3 linked regions of the Callithrix jacchus genome follow. The protein of the gene in region 2 interacts with the protein of the main gene of each other region in a pairwise test. Links are inferred from orthologs where the notes say so. Each region holds a gene or a part of one and is shown on either strand. Other genes may lie near its edges.

Region 1 (3,644 bases), about 130 Mb from region 2:
GAGGCCTTTGGTCAGCAGATTGCCACAGCAGCAACCCTGCAGCTCCCTGCCCCCACCCTGCATCCTGCACCCACACCCCCTCAACACGTAGGTGAAAGCACAGGCACTCATGCAGAGGACCTGAGCACCCCAAGCGGTGGGTGGGGGGGTCAAGGAAGTCAGCTCTTGACGTTGTAGTTCCAGATCTTGGGGAGCCTTTGGCAGCCTTTAGCTTTTTCAGGATGAGACCGGGAGGCTCCTGTGGGCTTGGCCTTTGCCTGCGCTGCCGTCTTCATCCCTGGGGTGGCAAAGCCTGCCTGCATCTTGACGGGGTTCCTATTGGCTGCTGGAGGAGCTGGGAGTTCTACCGGATAAAGAGAAATGGGAGAAAAACAGCCTGCGTCAGGCTGCAGGAGGGGCGGGAGGCTGTGCTCACATGCTCTCCACACGTGCAGTGGTTCTGTTGCCCCGGCCGGCAGGGCCCTGTGACCCTTGGCCTGGCTGCTCCAGGAGTCCTTGAAGGCCTGACTGGAGAGCTGTGTCCTCGCCTTGCTCAGTGGGTCCTGCTTGGTAGAGCCTGGGCCTGCCCCCCCTACTGGGCACCTGGACATCTGGCTCTGAAGATGGTCCCAGGACGGGGAGGGATGCTGGGGTAAATGGTTGACCAGAAGCCCCTCTTCCCAGCTGCGCCAGGTGTCCCCACCCTCTGAGACACATCCCCTGCCCCTGCCTCCCCCATGGGCCAGCAGTGCTAGGCTTGTGAGGCCGAAGGAAAGGCCATGCTAGTGGGAACCCCCTGGCCAGGCACAGGCCAAGAGCCTAGAAGAGCACCACATACACAGGCTCGGGCCTCAGCACCAGGCAGCCCTTCCAAAGCATTGGCTGAGACTGTCTTCACACAGGGGTGTCATAAGGGATCGTCTTTATCTAGCTAGTTTTTCTCTATTTTCCATTTTTTGAATTAAGAATGTGTTTTTTGGCCGGGCATGGTGGCTCAAGCCTGTAATCCCAGCACTTTGGGAGGCCAAGGCGGGTGGATCACCAGGTCAGGAGATCAAGACCATCCTGGTCAACATGGTGAAACCCCGTGTCAACTAAAAAATATACAAAAAATTAGCTGGGCACGGTGGTGCATGCCTGTAATCCCAGCTACTCAGGAGGCTGAGGCAGGAGACTTGCCTGAACCCAGGAGGCGGAGGTTGCCGTGAGCCGAGATCGCGCCATTGCACTCCAGCCTGGGTAACAAGAGCGAAACTCTGTCTCAAAAAAAAAAAAAAAAAAAAAAAATGTGTTTTTTTGGTAAAACAACAAAATGTTACTTAAAAACCCATGGTAAGATGTGAGCTCAGTGTCCACTGAGTGCCCACCCATGGCTGGGGTGAGGTCTAGAGGGCTCCAGCACATGGCCCAGTGCAGCCCAGCATGCAGTCTGGACAGATGGACCCGGGCAGGTCAGCCAGTGGCCAAGGCCTCCCGCTGGAGCCTGACCCATGTGGCCTGCGTGCCGCCTGGGTGCCCGGGAAGTGCCTGTGCTCTGGAAACACTGGCAGTGATGCCTATTTCTTGGCTGGGCTTCACAGTGCACATGGGCAGCCACACGCACCCCACCCTGGCACTGAGCCTGTCTTCCCATCCCGGCTTCTTCCACCCACTCCATGGTCGGGGTCTCGAGACACCCAGAACCAGCCATCCTTTAGCCCCTGGCCCTCTGCTGGGTTCCTGGGGGGCCCTGGACACTGCCTGCTCCCTTTGCTTCCAACCCCCAGAGGACTTCCTCCTCTTCATACAAAGGCTCCCACTACGTAACTCTAGACAACAAGCCTGCCTGACCTCGGCACCACCCCCCACGCACCCCCAGCACTGGCTTGGCTGCCACCACAGAGGGTGGGGTGTCCCATGGAAAGGGCTTCCCGCTGCGAAGTTGGTCCTCTGACCAGGCCCTAGTGCTCCACAGTGACCCTGAGGGGTCTCCTCAAACCCAGCGGCCTTGGTTGTCCCTCTCTAAGACACAGGAATTCTGGGGGCTTGGCCTGAGTTGATCCTCCTGAGACAATGCCTGCGGGGATTTTCAGAAAAAGTGAACTGGGGGAGGAGGTTGAATGGGCAGCCCCTCTGCTGGGGAGGCCCGGCAGGTGCTGCTGGGAGGAACATAGCTGTATCCCCAGGCAAAGCAGGGAAGTGTCAGTGGGGCACAGTGCCGGGGCAGGGAGGGTGGGCTGGCCTCCTTCCCAGGGCAGACCCTCCCCTCCCCTATCCACCTGGGGCAGGGCTTTTGAGCTGGTCTGGCCTCCCTAGCACAGAATATCCACTTCTCGGGCTCTGGTTTCTTCACCGGCCCCTTTCCTTCTGAGTCCTCCTCAGGGATGGTGGCAGGGAACTGGCCATGAGCCCAGGACTGCAGGGCAGGGGGCAGCCCCAGCCCAGCCAGCCCTAGGCTGGGAGGCAAGGGCTGTCAAACTGGCTGCCCAGGCGTGACTCCCTGTGACCCCAGGTTCTTCTCCTACCTGATGCTAATCTGAGGTCAAACCAGTAACTGGTTCTAAAAACACTCTTAGCCTTCACCACTCTCTGCCCCTCCTCGCCTGACCTGTTTTGCCGAGCCTGGCTGGGATTTGTCTTTCTGCACTGGGCTGACTGGGCCTCAGGGAAACCATGTGGACCCAGAGTTTGCTGGGCACAGCGTGAGGGACGCGCCTCTTGGGCCCTGCACCCCTCCCCCACCATCTGCTCTTGCTCTGGCCCAGAACAGAGCTGTAAAGTTCCTGAAACATCCAAGGCCTTGCAGCAATTAATCAGGGGAGGAGGACTGGGGCCTGCTGGCTCCTCTCATGCTTAACCCCTCCCAGGGGGTTAAGCTGAGGAAGGGCCCCCTGGGCTGGACTCTGGCCCCTCAGGCGGCCGAACCATACTTGGAGGTTTGAAGCTGGTGGAATCTCAAGGGAGGACACAGCCTGTCCCATGGCAGGGGAGGTGTGGCCATTGCTCTGTCTCTGCCTGGGGGTATGAGAACTCTGAGCAGCGCTGGTCCCCAGCTTTCTGGCCACCCCATGCATGCGTTTCTTCTCCTGCACCTGAGCGGCAACCCAGCTCTTGTCCCAATTGGCCTCTGGTGGCTCATTCTCCAGGCTGCTCCTGGCTCTCTGGGTGCCCCTGGGCACATCTGCCTGGCTTCCTAGGGCTTTGGAAAGGGCTGGACGGTGAGCCTGAGCCTGCCCTGGTTCTCCAGAGCTGCCTTGGGGCTAGGGAGGGCCTGGCCCTGATGGTAGCTCAGACCTCAAGTCCATTCTGTGGCCTTGGGCCCAGGGCACAGAGGCCCCTCTGTCTTCCTATGGCCTCCACTGCTCTCTGGGGTACACCCCTGCCATGCTGAGGGCCCTCATTCTGCTGAATCCCCCTCGCTGCCACAAGGGTCCTCATCCACCCCAAATTAACCCTTCTCAAATGCAACTCATTGTGTTTCCAAGTCTCTTGGGAATAAGGATTCCTACTGCTGTCTGCATGGTACCAGGCCTTCCGTGCAGAAAGCGACATCGAACATGACTTGGCTCCCCCGGTCCAGAATCTCCAGAAGCTTCGTGCACCTTTCCACAGCCCCGATGCCTGTGAAGCTCACAGGCCATGCCAACCCCACCTGCTGATGTCTCCTAAGGGACACCCCCACCCCT
Region 2 (3,644 bases):
GAGACTCAAAGCCGATTGATAAACTAGGGTCCCATACAAACAAGGGGTGAGCCAGGTTCCAAACCAGGACCGATGACTGAAGACCGCATGCTGAATTCTGACACTGTCCCCAGCCTTGGCTTGTTTTGTCCTCCCAGAGATCCATTGAGGTGGGGTCATAGTAACTATTTTACAGATAAAGAAACCAAGGCTGAGAGCAGGAAGGGCAAACTGAGGGCAGCTCTTGCATTTGTGTGGCACTGTGCAAGCCGGGCTCAGCCCCGGGCTCCAGGCCGAGACTCACACACACTGGCATGAGTCTACACTGGATCTTATTGGTCACCTGAGCGGTGGCCCAAGGACACATCTGTAGACCAGTGATCCAGAACTCCAACCACGTTCTCCTACTGCCCAAGACCGCTGAGGACAGCCTCCCTTCTCGGGGCCTGCATCCTGGGCCAGGCCAGAAACAGAACCTAACGCCTTGTAGAGCACCACACATGCCAGGCTCCTACCTCTGAGTCCTTGCCCAGGCTGTTCCCTCTGTCTAAACACCAGGCCCTCTTCTGGTTAATTCAGATTGGAATTATAGAGTCTAGCTGAGATGTGACTCTTCCAGAGAGGGTCCAGGCATTCGAAGCCACTCTCTGTCATGTCACTTAGCTTTCTGTGCCTCAGTGTCCCCACTTAGAATACAGGTTCATGTTGCAGGTTTCTTGTGAGGATTAAGTGAGATAATATACACAGTGTGCTGAGTTTAAGGCCTGCTCCTGGTGTGCACCCAGTTAATGAAAGTCATTGATAAACACTTGAGGAAGCAGAGAATCATGTAAGCCTGAAAAAAATCACTGCTTTGTGCTCCTTTCAGGAGTGGCAGGTGAGGAGGAGCTGCAGGTGGTGCAGCCTGAGAAGTCCGTGTCGGTCGCAGCTGGAGAGACGGCCACTCTGCACTGCACTGTGACCTCCCTGGTCCCCGTGGGGCCCATCCAGTGGTTCAGAGGAGCCGGACCAGGCCGGGAATTAATCTATAATCAAAAAGAAGGCCAATTCCCCCGGGTAACAGCTGTCGCAGACCAGACAAAGAGAAACAACATGGACCATTCCATCCGCATCAGTAACATCACCCCAGCAGATGCCGGCACCTACTACTGTGTGAAGTTCCGGAAAGCGAGCCCTATTGACGTGGAGTTGAAGTCTGGACCAGGCACTGAGCTGTCTGTGCGGGGTGAGTACAGCGTGGGCCTCCTTCATCCCCTGGTTTGTGACAATAAGCCAATAATAACACCCTCCGTTCTTTGAGCCATGACTAGGTGTGGTGGTGGGTGCTCCTTTTCATGAATTGATGTCTCCCACTTTTACATATAACGGAAGTTGAGGCCTGGAGATGCCCTGCTATTTGCTCAAGGCTCCACAGCTGGCAAAGACTGGGAAAGTCAGCATCCTTCCTTCAGCTGCCTGGGTCTGCAGCCCTTGCCACTTCTCATCTGCCCCAGCCCTTTGGTTCCACAGATGAGGGAACCAACAGATAGAGTGACTTGTCCAGGCACAGGGCCAGACCTCACCTGCCGCCTCCAGAGAGTGCTTCCCTCTCGGGGTGGTCAAGTCTCCTCTAAGTGACAGGCACCCACTAAAACCTACTATGTGCCAGGCTCCACCAAGCTTGTGTTCTCATCTTTTCCAATAAGAAATCCACCCAGGGCAGCGAGGAGGGAGGGTGTGCTTTTCTTTATTCCATCACCAAACATCGACTGAGAAGATTCCTAAAAGGCACAGATTTACTGTTTAGTCTGATGGCCCTGGTGAGAGGGGAAGCCAGAGGTCCCGGCATTTTCTGTGGGTCTTTTAGAAAAAACCTCGTGCAATTTAGGGACTGATTTATGCAATCACCAAAAGCTCTGAACAAAGCGGGGTCATCAAAGAATGTCCCCCATTCCAGGAAAGAGGTATTCCTTCTGGGTGACTTCGGGTTCCTCAGTTAAGGCAGCAAAGATGCTCATTTGTGTTTGTTGACAGGGCCCCAGGATTCTTGTTCTAGCTCCTGGTCCTGGGACATTAGTACAGGAAGGACCCTCAGACCATCCAGCCCAACCCCCAGTTACAGGTGGCCACTTGAAGTCAGGAGATGACAGGGGCCTTGCCCGTAGTCACAGGGCCAGTTAGTGACAGGATCTGGACCAGAGCCCACATCTGATTCCAGGGAGGCTCCTTCCTGCCCAAGTGTTAAGCATTGTTTCCATAGAAAAGCCTGGAGCATCACAGGTGCTCAATGAAAGCTCCTTGAACAGAGCCAGTAAGCAGGGAGCCAGCACTTCTCCTTTTCATCAGTTTCCCAAAGGTTCAGAATACTCACATTCAGACCCCATTGGTAACTGGAAAACCTCACCCAAATGTAAACCATGTTATTTGAAATGGAGATTTCATATCAGGACATAGAGACCTGTTCTGTTGTGTAATAGTTACCGAATACTCCAGCTTATAGAAATATGAGACTTATTTTATAGTCTTCTATTGATGGCTATATAAGTTGTCCCCAACTTTGAGCTATTAAAACAGTCCTGCAGTGGATGACCTTTAGCATGTGTCACCCTCCTCAGGTGGGAGATGCCCACTGGAGGTGCCATTGCTAGATCAGAGGGTGTGTGTGTTTTCATTTGTGTGGATATGGCCTTATTTCCATCCTAGACATAATAACAAGTCCCCCCACAACCGCTGGACATAGGCAGGGAGGGTGGCTTTATTCTGATCGTGCAGATATTACAGGAAAAGACATTGAGGTTTCCAGATGAGGCATCCCATGCCTAGACAATCGCAGCAAGTAAATGGCTCAGGTGTGACCCAGTTCTGCTGACTCCTAGTACAGTGCTCACTCCTCTTTGCCATGCTGTCAGCCTAAATGATGTCCTGGATGAGAAAGGAGGGAGGCAGGAGGGGGCCAGGGAGCAGCAGCTGGGCCAGATCCTGAGTCTGGCACTTTCTCCCTTTATAACAAGTACTAGAAGGAAGAGCCATGTGTTTGCCCCTTTTACAGATAAGGACTCTGAGGCCCAGAGAGGAGACCTAAGTGGTGAGCAGGTTGTGGAGCCTTGAACCACAGCCCCTGTATCTGTAACACCCAGCTGTGCTTATCAAAGTGGAGAAATGTTCCACCCTTCTCATTCCACTCTTGCAGTTCTATAGCAATGAGCATAGGCTGAGGCAGGAGAATTGCTCGAACCCAGAAGGCGGAGATTGCAGTGAGCCGAGATCGTGCCACTGCACCCCAGCTTGGGTAACAAAGCAAGACTCAGTTTCAAAAAAAAGGGAAAACAAAGCAAAAAATCCTATGGAAGTAGGAGGGGCCAGCCCCCATCAGAAAGGTCCTGCAGGTGTCTCATGATACAGGAACCTGTTCCTAAAGGACAGGTCTCAGCACATCACTGAGCAGCATCCATGGAGCAGAGTCGGGCCTCCTGCAGCCCAGCAGACCACATGCCCACCTACTCATGGTGCTGAGGACTAAGGATGCGGAGATGAGGCGTTTCCTGGGTGGGTGCTTTGGGCCCATAGGAGTAAGAGTTTCTATTCTCCCCTCGGGCTTTCAGGAGCCCACCAACTTCAGTTTATGGCAATAGGGTAACCAGATCTGGGCACCCTGGAGGGAGGCTTCTCCCTAGAATTGCATGAAG
Region 3 (4,080 bases), on a different chromosome or scaffold from region 2:
TGAACTTCTGACTTCAAGCGATCCACTGCCTTGGCCTCTTAAAGTGCTGAGATTGCAGGCATGCACCACCACACCTGGCTCATGAGAGACTATCTCTACCAAACAGCAGCTATTAGAGAAAATTAATCTGCTTGGTCCTTTTTTTTTTTTTTTTTTTTGAGACAGTCTCACTCTGTGGCCCAGGCTGGGGAGTGCAGTGGCATGGTCTTGGCTCACTGCAACCTCTGTCTCCTGGGTTCAAGCAATTCTTCTGCCTCAGCCTCCTGAGTAGCTGGGACTACTGGCACTCACCACCATGCCTGGCTAATTTTTTGTATTTTTTTTTTTTTTTGAGACGGAGTTTCACTCTTGTTACCCAGGCTGGAGTGCAATGGCACGATCTCGGCTCACTGCAACCTCCGCCTCCTGGGTTTAGGCAATTCTCCTGCCTCAGCCTCCCAAATAGCTGGGATTACAGGCATGTGCCACCATGCCCAGCTAATTTTTTGTATCTTTAGTAGAGACAGGGTTTCACCATTTTGACCAGGATGGTCTCAATCTCATGACCTCGTGATCCACCCGCCTTAGCCTCCCAAAGTGCTGGGATTACAGGCTTGAGCCACCACACCCGGCCATTTTTTGTATTTTTAGTAGAGACGGGGTTTCACTATGTTGACCAGGCTGGTCTCGAACTCCTGACCTTGTGATCTGCCTGCCTCAGCCTCCCAAAGTTCTGGGATTACAGGTGTGAGCCACCGCACCTGGCTGCTTTGTCCATTTATTCCCAACCGAGGATTATGGCCCATTCCTGTGAGTGGCCTGATGCAGCCAGCAAGACCCCTGGCATTAGGAGGCAAAGACAGCCGGCTTTGGACCATGGCCTCAGCTCACCCCCGCCCCCATAATATATATATATATATATAAACATATATATTAACATATATATTATTATATATTAACATATATATTATTATATATATAATAATAACCTCCCCTCCTCCCTGCCTTGCCTTTGTTCACACAACATCCTTCCATCTCCTCTTCCCTTTGCTGTCCCTTCTCTGCCTCCTCCTCTGACTCTAGGAGGCTGGGCCTTCTCTGGGAGAAAGGATTTGGTTCTAGCCCCCATCCTGCCTCCCAGGTCTCTCTCAGTACCCTCTGGTGTCACACTATATCGCTCCTGTCACTTCACACCCTGGCTCCTGCCCATTGAAGCCCTTCCTCCTGGGCTACCAAGCTGAGACCAGAACTACTCCCTGCCCCTCCCTTTCTCTCTCTCTCTCTCCCTCTCCCTCTTTTTTTTTGAGACAGAGATTTGATCTTGTTGCCCAGGCTGGAAGGCAATGGCAAAATCTTGTCTCACCTCAACCTCTGCCTCCCGGGTTCAAGTGATTCTCCTGCCTCAGCCTCCTGAGTAGCTGGGATTACAGTCATGAACCACCATGCCCACCTAAGTTTGCATTTGTAGTAGAGACAGGGTTTCTTCATGTTGGTCAGGCTAGTCTCAAACTCCTGACCTCAGGTGATCCACCTGCCTCAGCCTCCTGAAGTGCTGGGATTACAGACACGAGCCACCTCCGTCTCTCTTTATGTCCCTTCTGTGACAGGTCTTGCTTCTCCACTTCTCAGTGAGTATCCATCAGCTGCTGCCTCACCACCCCACCATGGTCACCTCATGTCCTGTAACAGTCCGTCTGAGGCCCTCTCACTCCCATTCCACTAGACCCCACAGCACAGTGAATTTGACAACTTTCTGGGCTAGGATTACTGTTCCCGTTTTACAGATGAGGAGATAGGCTCAGAGATTCAGTGGTAAAACTGGAATCTTACTTGCCCCAGCCTGAGCTATGAGGAACTGAACTATATTCTCCTGTCTAGCAAAATCCCATCCTAAATATCTATCTACCTCCCCCCACCCCACCCCACTGCCTATCAGACCTTAACTATCTGGTCTGGCTACTCTAACCTCCTCCCACCACCCTGGACAGCCAGGTCCTTCCCAGCTTCCCTCCACCAGTCAGGGCTGGGAGAACTCATTATGGCCTTGGCACCTTGGAGCCTTTGCTGATGCCCTAAGACTGGAATCCTTTTCCCCTCCCTCCACTTCATGGACCTATCCATCCTCCACGACTCAAATGTTCCCTTGTCTACACCAACGCCTAAGTGTCCCAAGGGCAGGTGGTTCTTCTGTGTACCCAGTAAACAAACATATGCCCTCACCACCACATAACCAATATCACTGCATTGTATACACGCAGATCCTCTGTTTTCTTCAGCTGAGGCTTCCAGTGTCCCTCCAATCGGTGGGCACAGGAAGGGAGAGGGGGAGAGTACCTACTCGGGACAGACACAGGGAGGGTGCAGATTGGATTGGCCCCTCCTCTCTACTCCAGCCTAAATTGTTCTCATGTTAGCTTTCTCCTCCTATGACCCCAAGTCCTGCCCTTTTTCCAGCTGGTCTGGGCTCTCCCTTTGAGGATTTAACAGTTCTCAATACCGAAGTTATTTAGCGGTCAGTCCTTCGAGGGCGACGGGTCAGATGTTTCCCAGAGAGCCTGGTGGTGGCGAGCGCGTGGAGCTTGGTCCCAGACTCCAACCCCAGCTCGATGCTCGGGCTCTTTGGCCGGGGAGCCAGGGTCTGGGGACACTGCGGAGCCTTTGCGGATGTACGACCGCACGGATCCCCTTACCTCCCTCCACTCAGTCCCAGAGCCTGAGAGTCCAGCGGCAGGGCGGGGCCCACAGACCTCCCCAACCCAGTGGTGCGCTGATTCTGCCCAATCTCGGTTTCCCTTCCCTCCCCCAGCCGGGAGTGGGGCTCCCGGTCTGGCCCGTTTTGGGCGGCCCCACTCACGGGTCGAACCTCGGCGGGGCAGGAGATGACGGTGCAGAAAGGGCCCGGCAGGGTGGGGGTGGGTGCAGCAGCTGCGGCGGGGGCGGGGCGGCCAGGGCTGCTGGGAATAGGGAGGGTGAGGGTTCTTCCCCGGGCACTGGGAGCCACGCCGCGGAGGCCGCGCGCTGGCTGGGGACGTGCACGTAGTCAGCTTTCCCTCCCCAACCGGGGTGCACCGGGAGATGAGGCCAGGAGGGGTCAGTTCGGCCCGCGGCCCCACACGTCCAATGCCCACTCAGGGCCTGCCAATTTCCAGGTGCTTTGCATCTATCCTGTCATCGACCCCTCTTCCCTGCCTGTCACAGAGGAAGCTCAGAGAGGGGTACTGACTCACCCAGGATCACAGAACGCATGCATTGCAGAGCTGAATGTGACCCAGAAGCCCCCGTTTCCCAGAGATTGCATCGGCCCAGCGCCTGCCCTGGATCCCGGCCTAGGCAGGGGAGCTAGGCACCAGATCCCCAACCATCTCCACCCTACCGGGGTTCCTCTATTAAAGACCTAGTAACTGAACGCGTCTACAAATGCAAAATCACCCCCATCCACAACTCCTGTGCTCCCTGGCCGATAGAGAAAAGAGACCAGAAACAGAAAAAAAAAATGGAGTTTATGTGCAGGGCTAATCGGGGTAGTGGAGAGAGGACGATGAGTAGTGGGGGCTTCGCTCACCCCCGCCAGGGGGCGCCAGGAAGCCAAAAAGGGTGTGCAGCTGCGGACTGACTCGAGCCCCCTTCAGAGGCCAGGGTCTTAGGGGGAGGGACTGGCTTCCGGGCCCAAGTAGGAGGCGGTCTGGCTCTCAGGGGTGCTGTAAATGGTTAAAGCCCCAGGCAAACCCAGGGCTGGGCCTCCCAAGGCTGCCTGGACATCCAGCAAGAGTGGCGCCCCCAACGTGGGGTCCTTCCCTAGGAGAAGTTGGGCAGTGTTCACGAAGGGAAAGGTTCCCCCTCCTTTCATCAGGGAAGGAGAGCCCTGCCCACCTGCTTTCTGCTCAGTTAGGATGAAACATCCATTCTTAACCTCCCCACTCTCACCCAGTGGTGAGGGCATGGGTGGCTCAAGGAACTCTCTGCAGGGCAGTCTGAACTTGGAATTTCCCTGCAAAGTTCAGATTGCCCCATTGCTCAATCAAGGTAGCTCAGCCCAATCAAGCCCTTCTCCTAGGTGGGAGTCATCACAACCATTACCTGGGCTTGGAGAATTTAATCCCT

What was found.
Region 1: the proteins of tyrosine-protein phosphatase non-receptor type substrate 1 (region 2) and CCDC57 interact in a two-hybrid assay, tested with the Homo sapiens proteins (2 studies listed by BioGRID). The two-hybrid records come from large-scale screens. The link is inferred for Callithrix jacchus from reciprocal best matches to the Homo sapiens genes SIRPA and CCDC57.
Region 3: the proteins of tyrosine-protein phosphatase non-receptor type substrate 1 (region 2) and NOL3 interact in a two-hybrid assay, tested with the Homo sapiens proteins (2 studies listed by BioGRID and IntAct). The two-hybrid records come from large-scale screens. The link is inferred for Callithrix jacchus from reciprocal best matches to the Homo sapiens genes SIRPA and NOL3.

The regions. Positions count from the first base shown.
Region 1 is NC_133506.1:137,722,423-137,726,066, forward strand, and holds part of CCDC57 (coiled-coil domain-containing protein 57), read right to left. Parts: intron 344-3,644; coding exon 159-343; 3' UTR 1-158. UniProt on the Homo sapiens protein: Pleiotropic regulator of centriole duplication, mitosis, and ciliogenesis. Critical interface between centrosome and microtubule-mediated cellular processes. Centriole duplication protein required for recruitment of CEP63, CEP152, and PLK4 to the centrosome.
Region 2 is NC_133506.1:9,495,650-9,499,293, forward strand, and holds part of tyrosine-protein phosphatase non-receptor type substrate 1, read left to right. Parts: intron 1-847; coding exon 848-1,204; intron 1,205-3,644. UniProt on the Homo sapiens protein: Immunoglobulin-like cell surface receptor for CD47. Acts as docking protein and induces translocation of PTPN6, PTPN11 and other binding partners from the cytosol to the plasma membrane.
Region 3 is NC_133521.1:24,678,868-24,682,947, reverse strand, and holds the start of NOL3 (nucleolar protein 3), read right to left. Parts: upstream 2,869-4,080; 5' UTR 2,843-2,868; exon of another isoform or gene 2,535-2,842; 5' UTR 2,477-2,534; intron 1-2,476. Other genes in the region: HSF4 (heat shock factor protein 4), read right to left, coding at 3,620-3,774, 4,057-4,080.